Macaca mulatta: one gene and its partners. The protein of the gene in region 1 purifies or fractionates together with the protein of each later gene. This does not show direct contact. Links are inferred from orthologs where the notes say so. Each region holds a gene or a part of one and is shown in the gene's direction. Other genes may lie near its edges.

Region 1 (4,836 bases):
CGCTATTCCTATTATCAAAGAGAAAAGAGACTTGATGGCTTGTGCCCAAACAGGTAAGCTCAGCTCATAAGAGTAAAACATTATCATATTTTTTCTGTAAAGGACTAGACAATAAAATATTTTTTTATGGGCCATGCAGTTTTGCAGCTGCTCAGCGCTGCTATTGGACTGTGAGAGAAGCCATAGATGATACATAAATTATTGGGTATGGCTGTATTCCGTAAGAGCTGTATTTATAAAAATAGCAGGCTTTATTTACAAAAATAGTTGTCTCAGTTTGCTGACTCCTCTTAGAGATGGACCAAAGAAGCCACTTTTTGGAAAACTTAATCATAAACTAAAAGTACTAATTACTAGTAATAGGGCAGTTAAAAAACACTGTCATCTACCAATGTCTGTTTAAAATTAATGAGCAGGATTTGTTTGTTTTTGAACAGGGTCTGGAAAAACTGCAGCATTTCTCTTGCCCATCTTGAGTCAGATTTATTCAGATGGTCCAGGCGAGGCTTTGAGGGCCATGAAGGTAGATGTTTCTTTATAAAATGGGAAATTATTGTAGAACTTTGTAGGAGGCCATTGAGAGGGCTTTCTAAATGATGCTAAGACTTAAGTCGAATGAAAAACAGTTTTCAAGTGTAATCTGTAATCTATAAATTACAAAAGGGAATTATGTTGTGATGAACTTTTCAAACAGGGTAGGTAGAGTTAACTTAAAAATTGATTTATTTCTTAGGAAAATGGAAGGTATGGGCGCCGCAAACAGTACCCAATCTCCTTGGTATTAGCACCAACGAGAGAGTTGGCAGTACAGATCTACGAGGAAGCCAGAAAAGTAAGTATGAGTTCCAGTGATTATTAGCTTTTTCATTGATTCTAATTAAATGTTTTATGAATATGTAAAAATTTTGATCTTGAAGTTCATAACTTTTTTTGCTTACAGTTTTCATACCGATCTAGAGTTCGTCCTTGCGTGGTTTATGGTGGTGCCGATATTGGTCAGCAGATTCGAGACTTGGAACGTGGATGCCATTTGTTAGTAGCCACTCCAGGACGTCTAGTGGATATGATGGAAAGAGGAAAGATTGGATTAGACTTTTGCAAGTATGTTTTTTTGTTTTGTTTTGTTTTGTTTTGTTTTTGGCGGAGTTTCACTCTTGTTGCCCAGGCTGGAGTGCCATGGCACGATCTCGGCTCACTGCAACCTCACCTCCCGGGTTCAAGTGGCTCTCCTGCCTCAGCCTCCCAAGTAGCTGGGATTACAGGCATGTGCCACTACGCCCAGCTAATTTTTGTATTTTTAGTAGAGACGGGGTTTCTCCGTGTTGGTCAGGCTGGTCACGAACTTCCAACCTCAGGTGATCCACCTGCCTTGGCCTCCCAAAGTGCTGGGATTACAGGCATGAGCCATCGGCGCTTGGCTATGTTAATTTTTAAATGTATGGGATGCAGTATTAAAGTTACTGGCCATTAGGTTTGTGGTGGTGGCAACATTGTCTAAATTTTAAGATTGAGAAGTGATGTATTTCAGACATCTAACTTTTACAAAAATCTTGTTCATGGTAATTTTAATGTTGAAAAATCAGTAGTAACATCTTGGTGGAGGCTTAGAATGATCAGCTCGTGGGACAGTCAACTAGGATGGGCTAATTTGGCTGTGTAATCTTGAATGACTTATGTAGTGGCAAGGATCCTGTGCTGGGTCTGTAAAATTACGCAGTGTGAGGCACCACCTTAATGAATATATAATTGTAGTAACTTACACAATTGCAATTATACTAACAGCCATACTAAAACCATCTTGATTTCTCCTCATTCTAAACTCAGGTTTGTTTTTTTTTTCATGACATGACAGATACTTGGTGTTAGATGAAGCTGATCGGATGTTGGATATGGGGTTTGAGCCTCAGATTCGTAGAATAGTTGAACAAGATACTATGCCTCCAAAGGGTGTCCGCCACACTATGATGTTTAGTGCTACTTTTCCTAAGGAAATACAGGTACTGTTGGATGTTGCAAATTTTATTTATTTATTTATTTATTTAATTTTTTTGAGAAGCTCTGTCGCCCAGGAGTGCAGTGGCGCTCAGCTCACTGCAAGCTCCGCCTCCCGGGTTTACGCCATTCTTCTGCCTCAGCCTCCAGGTAGCTGGGACTACAGGTGCCCGCCACCGCGCCTGGCTAGTTTTTTTTTTTTTTTTTTTTGTCAGTAGAGACAGGGTTTCACCGTGTTAGCCAGGATGGTCTCAATCTCCTGACCTCGTGATCTGCCTGTCTCAGCCTCCCAAAGTGCTGGGATTACAGGCTTGAGCCACCGTGCCTGGCCCTGCAAATTTTATTTATTTAGAAATTTGTTTATCTCAGGTAATAAAAATATTTTTTTTCTTTCAGATGCTGGCTCGTGATTTCTTAGATGAATATATCTTCTTGGCTGTAGGAAGAGTTGGCTCTACCTCTGAAAACATCACACAGAAAGTAGTTTGGGTGGAAGAATCAGACAAACGGTCATTTCTGCTTGACCTCCTAAATGCAACAGGTAACATTTTGATTTTTTTTTTTTTTTTTGAGACAGAGTCTCGCTCTGTTGCCCAGGCTGGAGTGCAGTGGTGCAATCTCGGCTCACTGCAAGCTCCGCCTCCTGGGTTCACGCCATTCTCCTGCTTCAGCCTCCCATGCTCCCATGTAGCTGGGACTACAGGCGCCTGCTACCGCACCCGGCTAATTTTTTGTATTTTTAGTAGAGATGGGGTTTCACCATGTTAGCCAGGATGGTCTCGATCTCCTGACCTCGTGATCTGCCCGTCTCGGGCTCCCAAAGTGCTGGGATTACAGGCCTCGTGAGCCACCGCGCCCAGCCGGCATTATGAATTTTTTATTTTTTTTTTAGAGATGGGGGTTTCTCTGTGTTGCCCAGGCTGGAGTGCAGGGGTTATTCACAGGCGCGATCCCATTACTGATCAGCATGGGAGTATTTGACCTGCTCTGTTTCTGACCTGGGCTGGTTCACCCCTCCTTAGACAACCTGGTGCTCCCTTGCTTCCGGGAGGTTATCATGTTGATCCCAAACTTAGTGTGGACACCTGATAGGCATAGTACACTACAGCCCAGAACTCGTAGACTTAGACAATCCTCCTGCCTCAGCCTCCAGAGTAGCTGGGCCTACAGGCACGTACCACTGCACCCATCTAAAATTATGAATAATTTTCATTGCTCTGGTGGTGATCCATTTGGGCTGGGTGCAGTGGTACGTGCATGTAGTCCCAGCTACTTGGCAGGCTGAGGCTGTAGTATGCCATGATTGCACCTGTGAATGGCCAGTTTACTCCCAGCCTGGGCAATATAGTGAGACACCCCCCATGTCTTCAATGTATTTGGATTACCTTTATTACTTTTCCTCCTCAATTCAAAACATGCTGTTAAAAGCCCATTTTTAAGAAGATATGTATGTATTTTAATTGACACATGAAAATTGTGCATACATAAGTGCAAAGAGAACTAAGCCATATTAGTGACAAAAACCTATAATTTTTCAACGACAGGCAAGGATTCACTGACCCTAGTGTTTGTGGAGACCAAAAAGGGTGCAGATTCTCTGGAGGATTTCTTATACCATGAAGGATACGCATGTACCAGTATCCATGGAGACCGTTCTCAGAGGGATAGGGAAGAGGCCCTTCACCAGTTCCGCTCAGGAAAAAGCCCAATTCTAGTGGCTACAGCAGTATGTATAAAAACATCCTTCTTTGATTCCAGTTGAGCATGTTCAAGTATTTTTCTTTTAAGTGGGCCATATCTCATATAAGTTATTTTTCAGGTAGCAGCAAGAGGACTGGACATTTCAAATGTGAAACATGTTATCAATTTTGACTTACCAAGTGATATTGAAGAATACGTACATCGCATTGGTCGTACAGGACGTGTAGGAAACCTTGGTAAGTATTTGATTACTTGATGACTTCATGTTTTTAGCTGTGATGCGTGCAGCAAAGAACTTGCTAGGATCTAAAATACATTTTTAACAATGAAAGTGACAAAAGATTTTGCTCAAAGCACTTGTTTAAATAATAGATTGTAATATTTTAAATATTTCTGCATAGGAAAGTAAGAAGGGTAGCAAGTTACTTTGTGGAAGACGTTTGTTTATATAGTTTTTTGGGGACTCTTTTAGGCCTGGCAACCTCATTCTTTAACGAGAGGAACATAAATATTACTAAGGATTTGTTGGATCTTCTTGTTGAAGCTAAACAAGAAGTGCCATCTTGGTTAGAAAACATGGCTTATGAACACCACTACAAGGGTAGCAGTCGTGGACGTTCTAAGAGGTGAGGTATATATGGTGTAATAGGTGTTGACTTACAGTTTCTAGTGTTTCCTCTGCATGCATAATGTCCAGCGTTAACTTCACAGTATTTAAAAAGCTGAATCATCTTAGGCTTTCTAGATTCTTTGGTAAGGGGTTGTATTAGAATGGATGACACTCCATTCTAATGTTGGGGAAAATATGGCTGGATGGGGAATTGTTTGAATGGAAAAATAGAAATTGGTCATTGGGACGTATGTAAGAGTTAGGTTACTTCAGTGGAATTTCATCTTCATGTGAACCAACATAAATTTTTTCTTATAGTAGCAGATTTAGTGGAGGGTTTGGTGCCAGAGACTACCGACAAAGTAGTGGTGCCAGCAGTTCCAGCTTCAGCAGCAGCCGTGCAAGCAGCAGCCGCAGTGGCGGAGGTGGCCACGGTAGCAGCAGAGGATTCGGTGGAGGTAGTGTTAATCTGTAACTTCATAGCTTTGGGAAGGGTTTTTTTCCGTTTAGTCATCTTTTTCAAAGTCTAATTA
Region 2 (4,836 bases), on another chromosome or scaffold:
AACATGGTGAAACCCCATCTCTACTAAAAGCACAAAAAATAGCCAGGCAGTGCTTGCCTGTAATCCCAGCTACTCAGGAGGCTGAGGCAGGAGAATCACTTGAACCCAGGAAGCGGAGGTTGCATGCCACTGCACTCCAGCATGGGTGACAAAGTGAGACTCTGTCTCCAAAAACAAAGAAAAAGACTACTAAGTCTTAGGGAAGTTGAGTTTGTATGAATTGGTGAACGTATATCTCAGAACCAAAACAAGGTTACTATATTTGAAAAAACATCAGTACATTTTATCAAATCTGTGACACCATTGAATTTTTTCAAACACTTACATTGTGTAACACAAAAAAAGAAAAACTACCAATCAATATGACACTCTGTCAAGCACAAGGTGCTGCCTCCTTTTAAAGCTGTTACAGTGAAAGAGTTTCGTGAAATTAATGACATAGGGTCAATCAGTTTTGTTTGCATTCTTCTCAGTTTTAAGTACATATTCACAGTATAATTAACAAACAGTAGTAGTCGCTCAACAGTTGAGGGTTCCAGTTTGCGTGTTGCTTTTTGAATTCTGTCATTTATGTCTGCTTACTTCATATGGAGGGCTTTTTGTACTCTGAGGCCTTCGTTCATGCCGCTACTCACATGATTTATATTTTTCAGGTTTTGGAAGATGGCAAAGTTCATGACACCCGTGATCCAGGACAACCCCTCCGGCTGGGGTCCCTGTGCGGTTCCCGAGCAGTTTCGGGATATGCCCTACCAGCCGTTCAGCAAAGGAGATCGGCTAGGAAAGGTACTTGCCTGTCAGCAGGAGTCTGAATCTTTGCAGCTGTGGCTGCTGCTCTCGAGTCCCTGTTTAGATTTTATTGTTGCAAAATCTTAACTCGTGAATTTTTTATAGGGATGGCAGCTGAGAAAGGTTGTCATCTCTGGGTGTAGTGATAGGAGAGCTGGGCACTTAGGTGTGGTGAACGAATTCTGAGACTCTCCCACGCTGTCCTCTCGCTTTCAGGGGTTTCCGGGTCTGTGGAAGCTTGCCTGGTTGACCTGTGCATTCTCTGTCTTGCCTTGTTGTTCATAGGTTGCAGACTGGACAGGAGCCACGTACCAAGATAAGAGGTACACAAGTAAGTGTTTCTGCGGCTGAATGCCCCAATCAGGGCCTTGGGAAAGTTGTTCTTTATTCTAATGACCTTCATCTGAAAGCTTTTTTGGAATAGGAAGGAACTGGCAACAATAATTCATAGCTTTTAGGGATATAGTCTGGACTTTAACAGTAACCACATTTTTGGAACTAGCCCCCAAAACTTAGTCTGTTCATTAAAGAGGTCTAGCCTATTAAAATGGGATTTGGGGCCCTTTTAAAAACCTGTTGAAAACATTAGCTGGGCATGGTAGCATGCGCCTGTAATCTCAGCTACTCGGGAGATTGATGCAGGAGAATCACTTGGACCCAGAAGGCAGAGGTTGCAGTGAGCCAAGATCATGCCACTGCACTGCAGCCTGGTGACAGAGCCAGACCCTGTCTCAAAAAAAAAAAATTAAAACCCCTGGTTTTAAGATCCTGGTACTATAAAAAGGCTTTTTCTCTGTGCCATTTCAGATAGTTGCAGGTGGCTGCCTGGAGAACTAAGTTAGGATAGCTGAGGCTGAGATTGGCAAGAAAGTATATCGTGATCCATTAGACATACCTGCCGTGGGTCCCTGATAATGGAGATGATGGTTAGCAATAAATACCTCAGATTCTCACACAATAAAGCAGAGAGTAAAATGGGTTAGCTTGAGTCCTTCAGAGTCTTCGCTTAGAAAGTTCTTTAGACCAGAGTTTTTCAAAATTGAATGTGCATATGAATCACCTGGGGATCTTGTTAAAATGCTGGTTCTGATTCGGTGGGTATGGGGTGGGACTGTGAGTCTGTGTGTCTAACAAGCTTCCAGCCAATGCTACAGGTCTCAAGACCACCCTGGAAATAGCAAGGCTTTAGACTGGTGCGTATCTGGTAAAGTCTGTGAATGTAGTTACTACATGCCGGCACTTTTGCCTCCAGATAAGTACTCCTCTCAGTTTGGTGGTGGAAGTCAATATGCTTATTTCCACGAGGAGGATGAAAGTAGCTTCCAGCTGGTGGATACAGCGCGCACACAGAAGACGGCCTACCAGCGGAATCGGATGAGATTTGCCCAGGTAAGCCAAGAACCAGCAACCACCATCTTGGGGCTGTTACTGTTGGCCATCACCTGCCTAAAAATGCTACCTTGTGACTCCTAATGAGAGAGGGAAGCATATTAGAGGTCTTCTCAGGTGAATCTCAGGTCACTGTTCTGTAACAAGAGGTACCAAGGTAAACTTGAACTAGGTTCAAGGATGCATTTAAATAGTTTATGTTTCTGTTTACCAGTAGGTAGGACATCAGACTTGTATGCTAAAAGCATTTGTGCTGGATAAGAAGGTGCACCCGTGCCTGTTGCCACAGGTAATTGGTGTGTGCAGACTTTATTAAGTAGACGGTCCAGTCAGGTTGCGTATTATTACTTAAAGAGGCAAACTCAGAAACTCTAAAAAGACCCAGTAAACATACTTCAATGAAAAATATGTCACGGGAATATAAGTCTAAGCAAAGTCCAAGTACTTACCCCCTAACACCCCCAAGCTGTTGATGCCGTAGAGTGAAAGCACAGAGCAAGATGTGAAACTTGGGATTTGGCATCTTAAACTTACTCGAAAGACCTCCTCCTCATTCTGCCTATTGTGAGCCAAATCTCCAAGATGCTAACATGGATATTTCTTGCTGATGCCCAGAGGAACCTCCGCAGAGACAAAGATCGTCGGAACATGTTGCAGTTCAACCTGCAGATCCTGCCTAAGAGTGCCAAACAAAAAGAGAGGTGAGATTTTCATCCTACTGGAACAAGACACCCTTCCCAGACTGGCCGTAGTTGGAAACAGTAGGACAAAAGCGGGAGGGTGGTTGTCTTCCCCATCATTACAAAAAAAGAAAAAGAGGAAAATACCTTCTACAACCAGTTAAGCCACCTTTTGGCTTGTTGTTCTCAGGCTGGTTCATGGCAGATAGCATGAGCAGCAGACTGAACTCCTTGTGCTGGCCGTGTGCACTGAAGGGAAACCCAGGCAGGCAAGAAGAGGCTCTGGAGCTTACCTTGGCTCAGTTCTGCTGTGGGACAGCTCCAGGAAGCCCCATGTATGCTGGTCCTGGGAGCCTCCTGGTGGTGTGTGGTCCAGCAGCCACTACACCCCAGATTGGAGCTATCAGTGAACAGGCACTATAGATGAAGTAAAATATGCCTGGTCAGTATTTGGAGGCAGTGTGCTTTTCCAATGTGTACCCTCTGGGTCTCTTCCTTTCTCTAAGCCCATTTTTCATAGTTCAATGGAGTTAGTGATCATGGCAAGTTTTAGCTGAAGAGAATGGCACCCTGTGCCTTTTGAGGAAGCCACTAATTTTAAGGTCTGCTCTGAGATCATATTTCTATCTTTCCAGAGAACGCATTCGACTGCAGAAAAAGTTCCAGAAGCAATTTGGGGTTAGGCAGAAATGGGATCAGAAATCACAGGTAATGCAATTATACCAGAATTCTGCCTTGGAATTTGGTTCTGTTTATTTGGTTGTCTTTATAATAGCTTAGATGAGATATACTTCACATACCGTACAATTTAGTCGTTTTTAACATATTTGCAGAGTTCTGTAACTGGTCAATTTCAGACCATTTTCATCACCCTCAAGAGAATCCCTTACCCTTTAGCAGTCACCCTGTCTTGATCTGTTTTCTGTTGCCAGAACAGAATACCTGAGAGTGGGTAAGTTATAAAGTGGTTTCTTTAGCTCATGGTTCTGGAGACTGGGAAGTCCTGGATCAGGAGCGGCATCTGGTGAGGGCCTCATGCTGCTTGATAGCATGGCAGAAAAGGCAGAAGGGGGAGGAGGGTGCAACAGAGAAAAAGGCTAAACTGTTTGGGTAGTTAGCCCATTGCTGAGAGAAGGGCATAGGCATTTATTCCTTTTAACGACCTAATCTCTTAAAGGCCCTACCTCCCGACACTGCCACAGTAGCAACCAGCGTGCCACATGAGTTCCAGGAGGCCAGACGCTAACACGCCCAATACCCCAGCCCTAGGCAGCTACAAATCTGTTTTCTGTCTCTGGATTTTTTGTTCTAGACATTCTACATACATGGAATCATACAATATATGGTCTTTTGTAACTGGTGGCTTTTTTTTCGCATGTTTTCAAGAGTCATCCATGTGGCAGCATGTGCCGGTACAGTTGTCCTTCAGTATGTGAAAGTCTACACATTCTCAGGTCCCACAGTCGGCCTGTGGTACCCACATATATGAAAAGTTGGCCCTCCATATACTCGGGGTTTGCATGCCAAGAATACTTTTTTTTTTTTTTTTTTTTTTCTTTTTCTTTTTCTTTTTTGAGACAGGGTCTCGCTCTGTCACCCAGGCTGGAGTGCAGTGGCGTGATCTTAGCCAACTGCAGTCTCTCTCTGCTGGGTTCAAGCAATCCTCCCACCTCAGCCTTCTGAGTAGCTGAGACTATGGGCATGCACCACCACGCCTGGCTAATTTTTGTATTTTTTGTAGAGATGGGGTTTTGCCATGTTCCCCAGGCTGGTCCCAAACTCCTGAGCTCAAGCAGTCCACCCACCTCAGCCTCCCAGAGTGCTGGTTTTACAGACATGAGGCACTGCGCCCGGCTTGTATTTTCAGTCCATGTTTGTTTGAAGAAAATCTGCATATGAGTAGACCCATGTACTTCAAACCCATGTTGCTCAAGGGCAGCTGTGCTTCATTTGTTGTTGGTTGTGGGTTTTGTTTTTC
Region 3 (4,836 bases), on another chromosome or scaffold:
GTTTTCTGATCACGCTGGTTTTCCTTTCATCTAGCTATGGGGCCTACCCCACCCAGCCTGGGCAGGGCTATTCCCAGCAGAGCAGTCAGCCCTACGGACAGCAGAGTTACAGCGGTTACAGCCAGTCCACGGACACTTCAGGCTATGGCCAGAGCAGCTATTCTTCTTACGGCCAGAGCCAGAGCAGTGAGTCTTTCTCAGCAGGTCACCTCTTCCTGCTCTTTCTGAATATTGCTTTTCTTTTTTTTCTTTTTCTTTGGGAGACGGAGTCTCATCCTGTTGCCCAGGCTGGAGTGCAATGGTGCTATCTCAGCTCACTGCAACATCCGCCTCCCGGGTTCAAACAATTCCCCTGCCTCAGCCTCCTGAGTAGCTGGGATTACAGGCACCTGCTACCACGCCCTACTGATTTTTGTATTTTTAGTAGAGATGGGGTTTCACCATGTTCGATAGGCTGGTCTAGAACTCCTGACCTTGTGATCCACCTGCGTCAGTCTCCCAAAGTGCTGGGATTACAGGTGTGAGCCATCACGCCCTGAATGTCCCTTTTCTTAAACCTGAGCAGGACTGAAGTGTTGAAACTCTTCCATATTTCTTTTCCCTAAATGAGTGTATAATTCTTAAAACTCTTTGGGATCTGAGTCCTTTACAGGGCATTGTGGCACACCTGTAGTCCCAGCTACTGAGGAGTCTGAGGCAGGAGGATCCCTTGAGTTCAGGAGTTTGGGGCTGCAGTGAGCTATGATAGTGACTGAACAGCGACTGCATTCCAGCCTGGGCAGTGTATTGCGGCCCCATCTCAAAAAACAAAAATGTTTTTTGGTTTGTGATTCTGTTTACATTTGTTTTCTTTGGCTTTTAATTTTTATGACTCTCATTTCCCATCTCAGCATGAAAGAGCATATTTTCTAACGGGAGAACCAGTTTTAGGCCAATTCTTAAATGGAGAAAATGGTTATGCTTGAAACAAATGTATGAAATCATGTGATACATAAGGAGGTGGGATTTGCCCCAAGGTCCTGAAGTGTAACTAAGAAAGGTGGTTGTCCTGTACGTAACTGCATGCACAGCTGCATATCACAGTGCTGTTAACAGGAATCCTTGGGCTTGGGATTAGAGGGTGTTGGGGTTGGCGGGGTTAAATTGGAACTGTCTTAGGATAGAAGTTGGAGCATTAACTTTGGGCTTTGAAAGGAGGGTAACTATCTTTATGAGTTGCAAGATTATGAACAGCTTCTGAAAGGCTGACTTTTTGGGTATAGGTATTAGGTTGTATATGTTTTAACACATTTCTTACATTTTCTTTTTCCTGGTGGCTTTTGTGACTTCTTTTTTCTTGTAGCAGGCTATGGAACTCAGTCAGCTCCCCAGGGATATGGCTCGACTGGCGGCTATGGCAGTAGCCAGAGCTCCCAATCTTCTTATGGGCAGCAGTCCTCCTACCCTGGCTATGGCCAGCAGCCAACTCCCAGCAGCACCTCGGGAAGGTACGGTGGTGTCGATGTCGGGGAAGGCTTGAAAAGAGGGGTGAATTGATGAGGAATGATAAAGGGACCAGCAGCAGTAGGAGCAGTTTAGAGGTGTAATTGGGGTAGGGGAGCCTGTGTTGAGTACAGAGAATGGAATCCACTAAAAGGAAATTGGGGGGGTATGCTGGGATTGTGATTGTGTTTTTTGTTTGTTTTCCTTAGTTACGGTAGCAGTTCTCAGACCAGCAGCTATGGGCAGCCCCCGAGTGGGGGCTACGGCCAGCAGCCTAGCTATGGTGGACAGCAGCAAAGCTATGGACAGCAGCAAAGCTATAATCCCCCTCAGGGCTATGGACAGCAGAACCAGTACAACAGCAGCAGCAGTGGTAGTGGAGGTGGAGGTGAGATGTCCTCAGCTTTGTCTGCAGCCCATTTTCTATAAGGATTTGTATTCTGTTTTAGCCTAAAAGGGTTCCTGTTTTATTTCCTAGCTGTCTTTTTAATTTCTTTTGTACTTCATTGCCTGGCACTTGTCATACCTTTTTGTGCTACTTTACAATTTTTTTTTTTAAACCATCCTTTTTTTTCTCACAGGTAGCTATGGCCAAGATCAATCCTCCATGAGTGGTGGTGGTGGTGGCGGCGGCGGCGGTGGCGGCGGCAGCAGTGGTGGTGGTGGTGGTGGTTATGGCAATCAAGACCAGAGTGGTGGAGGCGGCAGTGGCTACGGACAGCAGGACCGTGGAGGCCGTGGCAGGGGCGGCAGCAGTGGTGGCGGCGGCGGTGGTGGTGGTTACAACCGCAGCAGTGGTGGCTATGAACCCAGAGGTCGTGGAGGTGGCCGTGGAGGCAGAGGTGGCATGGGGTAGGTGTCTCATGAGCCAGGGAGTATCTTTGGTGGGGAGTGTGGAGGATTGCATGAATCTCCCTGAAGCCAGTCCCTAATGCATGGTTTAGTATTCTTGTTGTCTGGGGGATCTGTGAGGGCTTTGATTTGGGGGCAGTGATTTTCTTTTTACATCCCCATTTTATTTTTGTGAGAATTTGGGAGCCTGAACTCCCATCCATACCACCGAATAGAGATTTTGAGTATTGATACTTGTTTCCAAAAAAAAGAAATCATACATAGATTTCCAATACGTATGGATTGGAGTCATTGATATCCTAGGCAAGAAACATGGAAGTGAAGACTTCTTTCTCTGCAAGGGAAACCGATGAACCCACTCCTGGGAAATAGTAGGGAAACTTGGTATGTGTGTTCCCGTGTGTCCTCTAGGGAGTTGGTAATGGTTAACCTGACTTCAGCTTCCAGGAATTGGTTACTCTTCCCGTTTTCTGTAGTCATTTGAATCCACGAGCTTGATTTGCACCAATTTGACCGACATTGATTTTGGGTGTGACTTGGTTTATGGGACCAACTGACTGAAGTGTGCAGACCTTTTGGGCAAAAATATGCTTGACAGTGGTCTCCCACCTAGTTGTTCCACTGTCTGCCTTACCCTGGTTACTTAAAATTCATCAGCTTGTCCAACTGGACCTTCTTTCCTTCCTGCTGAAGTTGATTTGAAGTAAAACCTTAGATTTGATGTTAAAACAGTTGTCAAATCTGTCGGTAAATACGATTTGAAGGACCCTACTCTGTCTCCCTTGAAAAAGGGCAGGAATGTCAGTGTAACTGTTTTTGGAAAAAGTAGATTTTTAAACTGAGTTTGGATATGGTAAGTATGCAGAGGTGGGTGGGGGCAATCTCAAAAACGTACAAAAATGAGGAAAACTCTGTTGTGTGCGTGTGTTTAATGCAAAACTTTAAAAAGAAAAACAACTGTTATGTGACTGTTAACTTGCTCTGCATTTTATGTGCCACAGGTATGAAAGGTGACATTGCAAAATACTCCGCTCTTCTCGCAGTGTAGAAGGGGTGACCCCGGGGGTTGGGGGAGATTAAAAACAGCTCAGTAGTTAGGACAGAGCTTAGCTAAGTTTGTCTTGCTTTAAGGGGAAGTTGCCTTTGGTTTTGACTTTTTATGGAATGGGGTTGGGTCTGCTTGCTGCTTTCAAAGCAAAAACCACAAAAGTGTGTTCAAGGCTACCCCAGCCTGGTGTGAAATGTCTTCTGGGTAAATTGGGGTAGGGTTTTTAAACCAACTACTTGGTTGTCAACCACTTGCGACAAGAGGAAAAAAAAACATCTGCTCCATCGGAAGAACGACCAAGGAAAATGGGTCATTTTTTTCCAGAGGAAATAGATACATAACCTTTTAAAGCAAAATCTTTATAAACTGTGTCTGAGAAATTGCACACGTGTGTGTGACATGCTCAAAGGTCAGACAAGGGGTGGTCAGGAAGGGATGTATTTTAGTAGCCACTTGTATCTTTTTCCAAAAACACCTACCTGTGTTTGGGAAATGTTAAACAAAATCAAAAAACACCCTTTTGTAGCCGTTGGAAGCTTCATGTCCTTTCTTCTAACTTGTCTTCTCCAGCGGAAGTGACCGTGGTGGCTTCAATAAATTTGGTGGTAAGTGAACAGAGTTTCCAAAATTCCCAACTCCCAGCAATGCTTTGTCTGATTGTTCATTTGCAGATGTCTTAGCGTGTTAATTTAAATGTCAAAGGTTTTGAGGTGTCCAGAACCACCTCCATAAAGGGGTAGGGTAGAATGCCACCTGTTGCCTGGTGTGTGCTAACCTGGAGCAGGCAGGGGTAAGATTCAATAGTCGTCTTTTACCAAATGGGTTTGCCCCAGGTTAATAAGAGGGGTTTAGTAGGCCTTGGACAGGGCTGTTGCCACACCTGGCACTTAGTGACCATCATCATGAGAAACTGGAGAGTGCGTGCTGGAACACGTGGTGCCATCTTGACTTTAGGATCCTTTTGATCATTGTGTCCAAGGCTTGTGTGTGTGTGAGAGTGGGAGACAACCTCCAAATGTTTTAATTCTGGAAGAGGGATGTAACATTGCCCTAAGAATGGTGAAGTTGGTATACCTTTATAAAGTACGGAATGGTGTCAATGAATGCAATTCTATGTATATGGACTTAACTCAGATGGGCAAATAGAAACTAGCTCTGGGAAGGAACATGTGCACTACTTCAAGAAAGATTGGAAGCATGTGTGGCTCATGGGAAATAACCAGGTCTTAAACAGCACAAACTGAATTCATGGACCAGGAAGGTCTTAAACAGCACAAACTGAATTCATGGAAAAATGACAAATTTGAGAAGTCTCCCAGTAAGCTGGAACTTTTCTGGTTTGGTTAACTAACAAAAGGTTTCTTGATTTGTCTCAACATTTAAAGCCAAAGGCTTGGGTTCATAACTTAGGTGTCATTGCGTGTGGGTACAATATTTATATATGGCGAATTCAG

What was found.
Region 2: the proteins of DDX3X (region 1) and EIF3D fractionate together in Homo sapiens (co-fractionation; 3 studies listed by BioGRID and IntAct, with this or other methods). This does not show direct contact. The link is inferred for Macaca mulatta from reciprocal best matches to the Homo sapiens genes DDX3X and EIF3D.
Region 3: the proteins of DDX3X (region 1) and FUS purify together in Homo sapiens (affinity purification with mass spectrometry; 3 studies listed by BioGRID and IntAct, with this or other methods). This does not show direct contact. The link is inferred for Macaca mulatta from reciprocal best matches to the Homo sapiens genes DDX3X and FUS.

The regions. Positions count from the first base shown.
Region 1 is NC_133426.1:41,243,161-41,247,996, forward strand, and holds part of DDX3X (ATP-dependent RNA helicase DDX3X), read left to right. Parts: coding exon 1-53; intron 54-437; coding exon 438-523; intron 524-733; coding exon 734-832; intron 833-940; coding exon 941-1,101; intron 1,102-1,852; coding exon 1,853-1,997; intron 1,998-2,388; coding exon 2,389-2,533; intron 2,534-3,536; coding exon 3,537-3,718; intron 3,719-3,811; coding exon 3,812-3,929; intron 3,930-4,165; coding exon 4,166-4,319; intron 4,320-4,621; coding exon 4,622-4,761; intron 4,762-4,836. UniProt on the Homo sapiens protein: Multifunctional ATP-dependent RNA helicase. The ATPase activity can be stimulated by various ribo-and deoxynucleic acids indicative for a relaxed substrate specificity.
Region 2 is NC_133415.1:15,017,671-15,022,506, forward strand, and holds part of EIF3D (eukaryotic translation initiation factor 3 subunit D), read left to right. Parts: intron 1-653; 5' UTR 654-663; coding exon 664-786; intron 787-1,074; coding exon 1,075-1,120; intron 1,121-2,041; coding exon 2,042-2,178; intron 2,179-2,793; coding exon 2,794-2,879; intron 2,880-3,493; coding exon 3,494-3,566; intron 3,567-4,836. UniProt on the Homo sapiens protein: mRNA cap-binding component of the eukaryotic translation initiation factor 3 (eIF-3) complex, a complex required for several steps in the initiation of protein synthesis of a specialized repertoire of mRNAs.
Region 3 is NC_133425.1:29,826,664-29,831,499, forward strand, and holds part of FUS (RNA-binding protein FUS), read left to right. Parts: intron 1-34; coding exon 35-204; intron 205-1,342; coding exon of another isoform or gene 1,343-1,345; coding exon 1,346-1,487; intron 1,488-1,691; coding exon 1,692-1,877; intron 1,878-2,063; coding exon of another isoform or gene 2,064-2,067; coding exon 2,068-2,334; intron 2,335-3,952; coding exon 3,953-3,987; intron 3,988-4,836. UniProt on the Homo sapiens protein: DNA/RNA-binding protein that plays a role in various cellular processes such as transcription regulation, RNA splicing, RNA transport, DNA repair and damage response. Binds to ssRNA containing the consensus sequence 5'-AGGUAA-3'.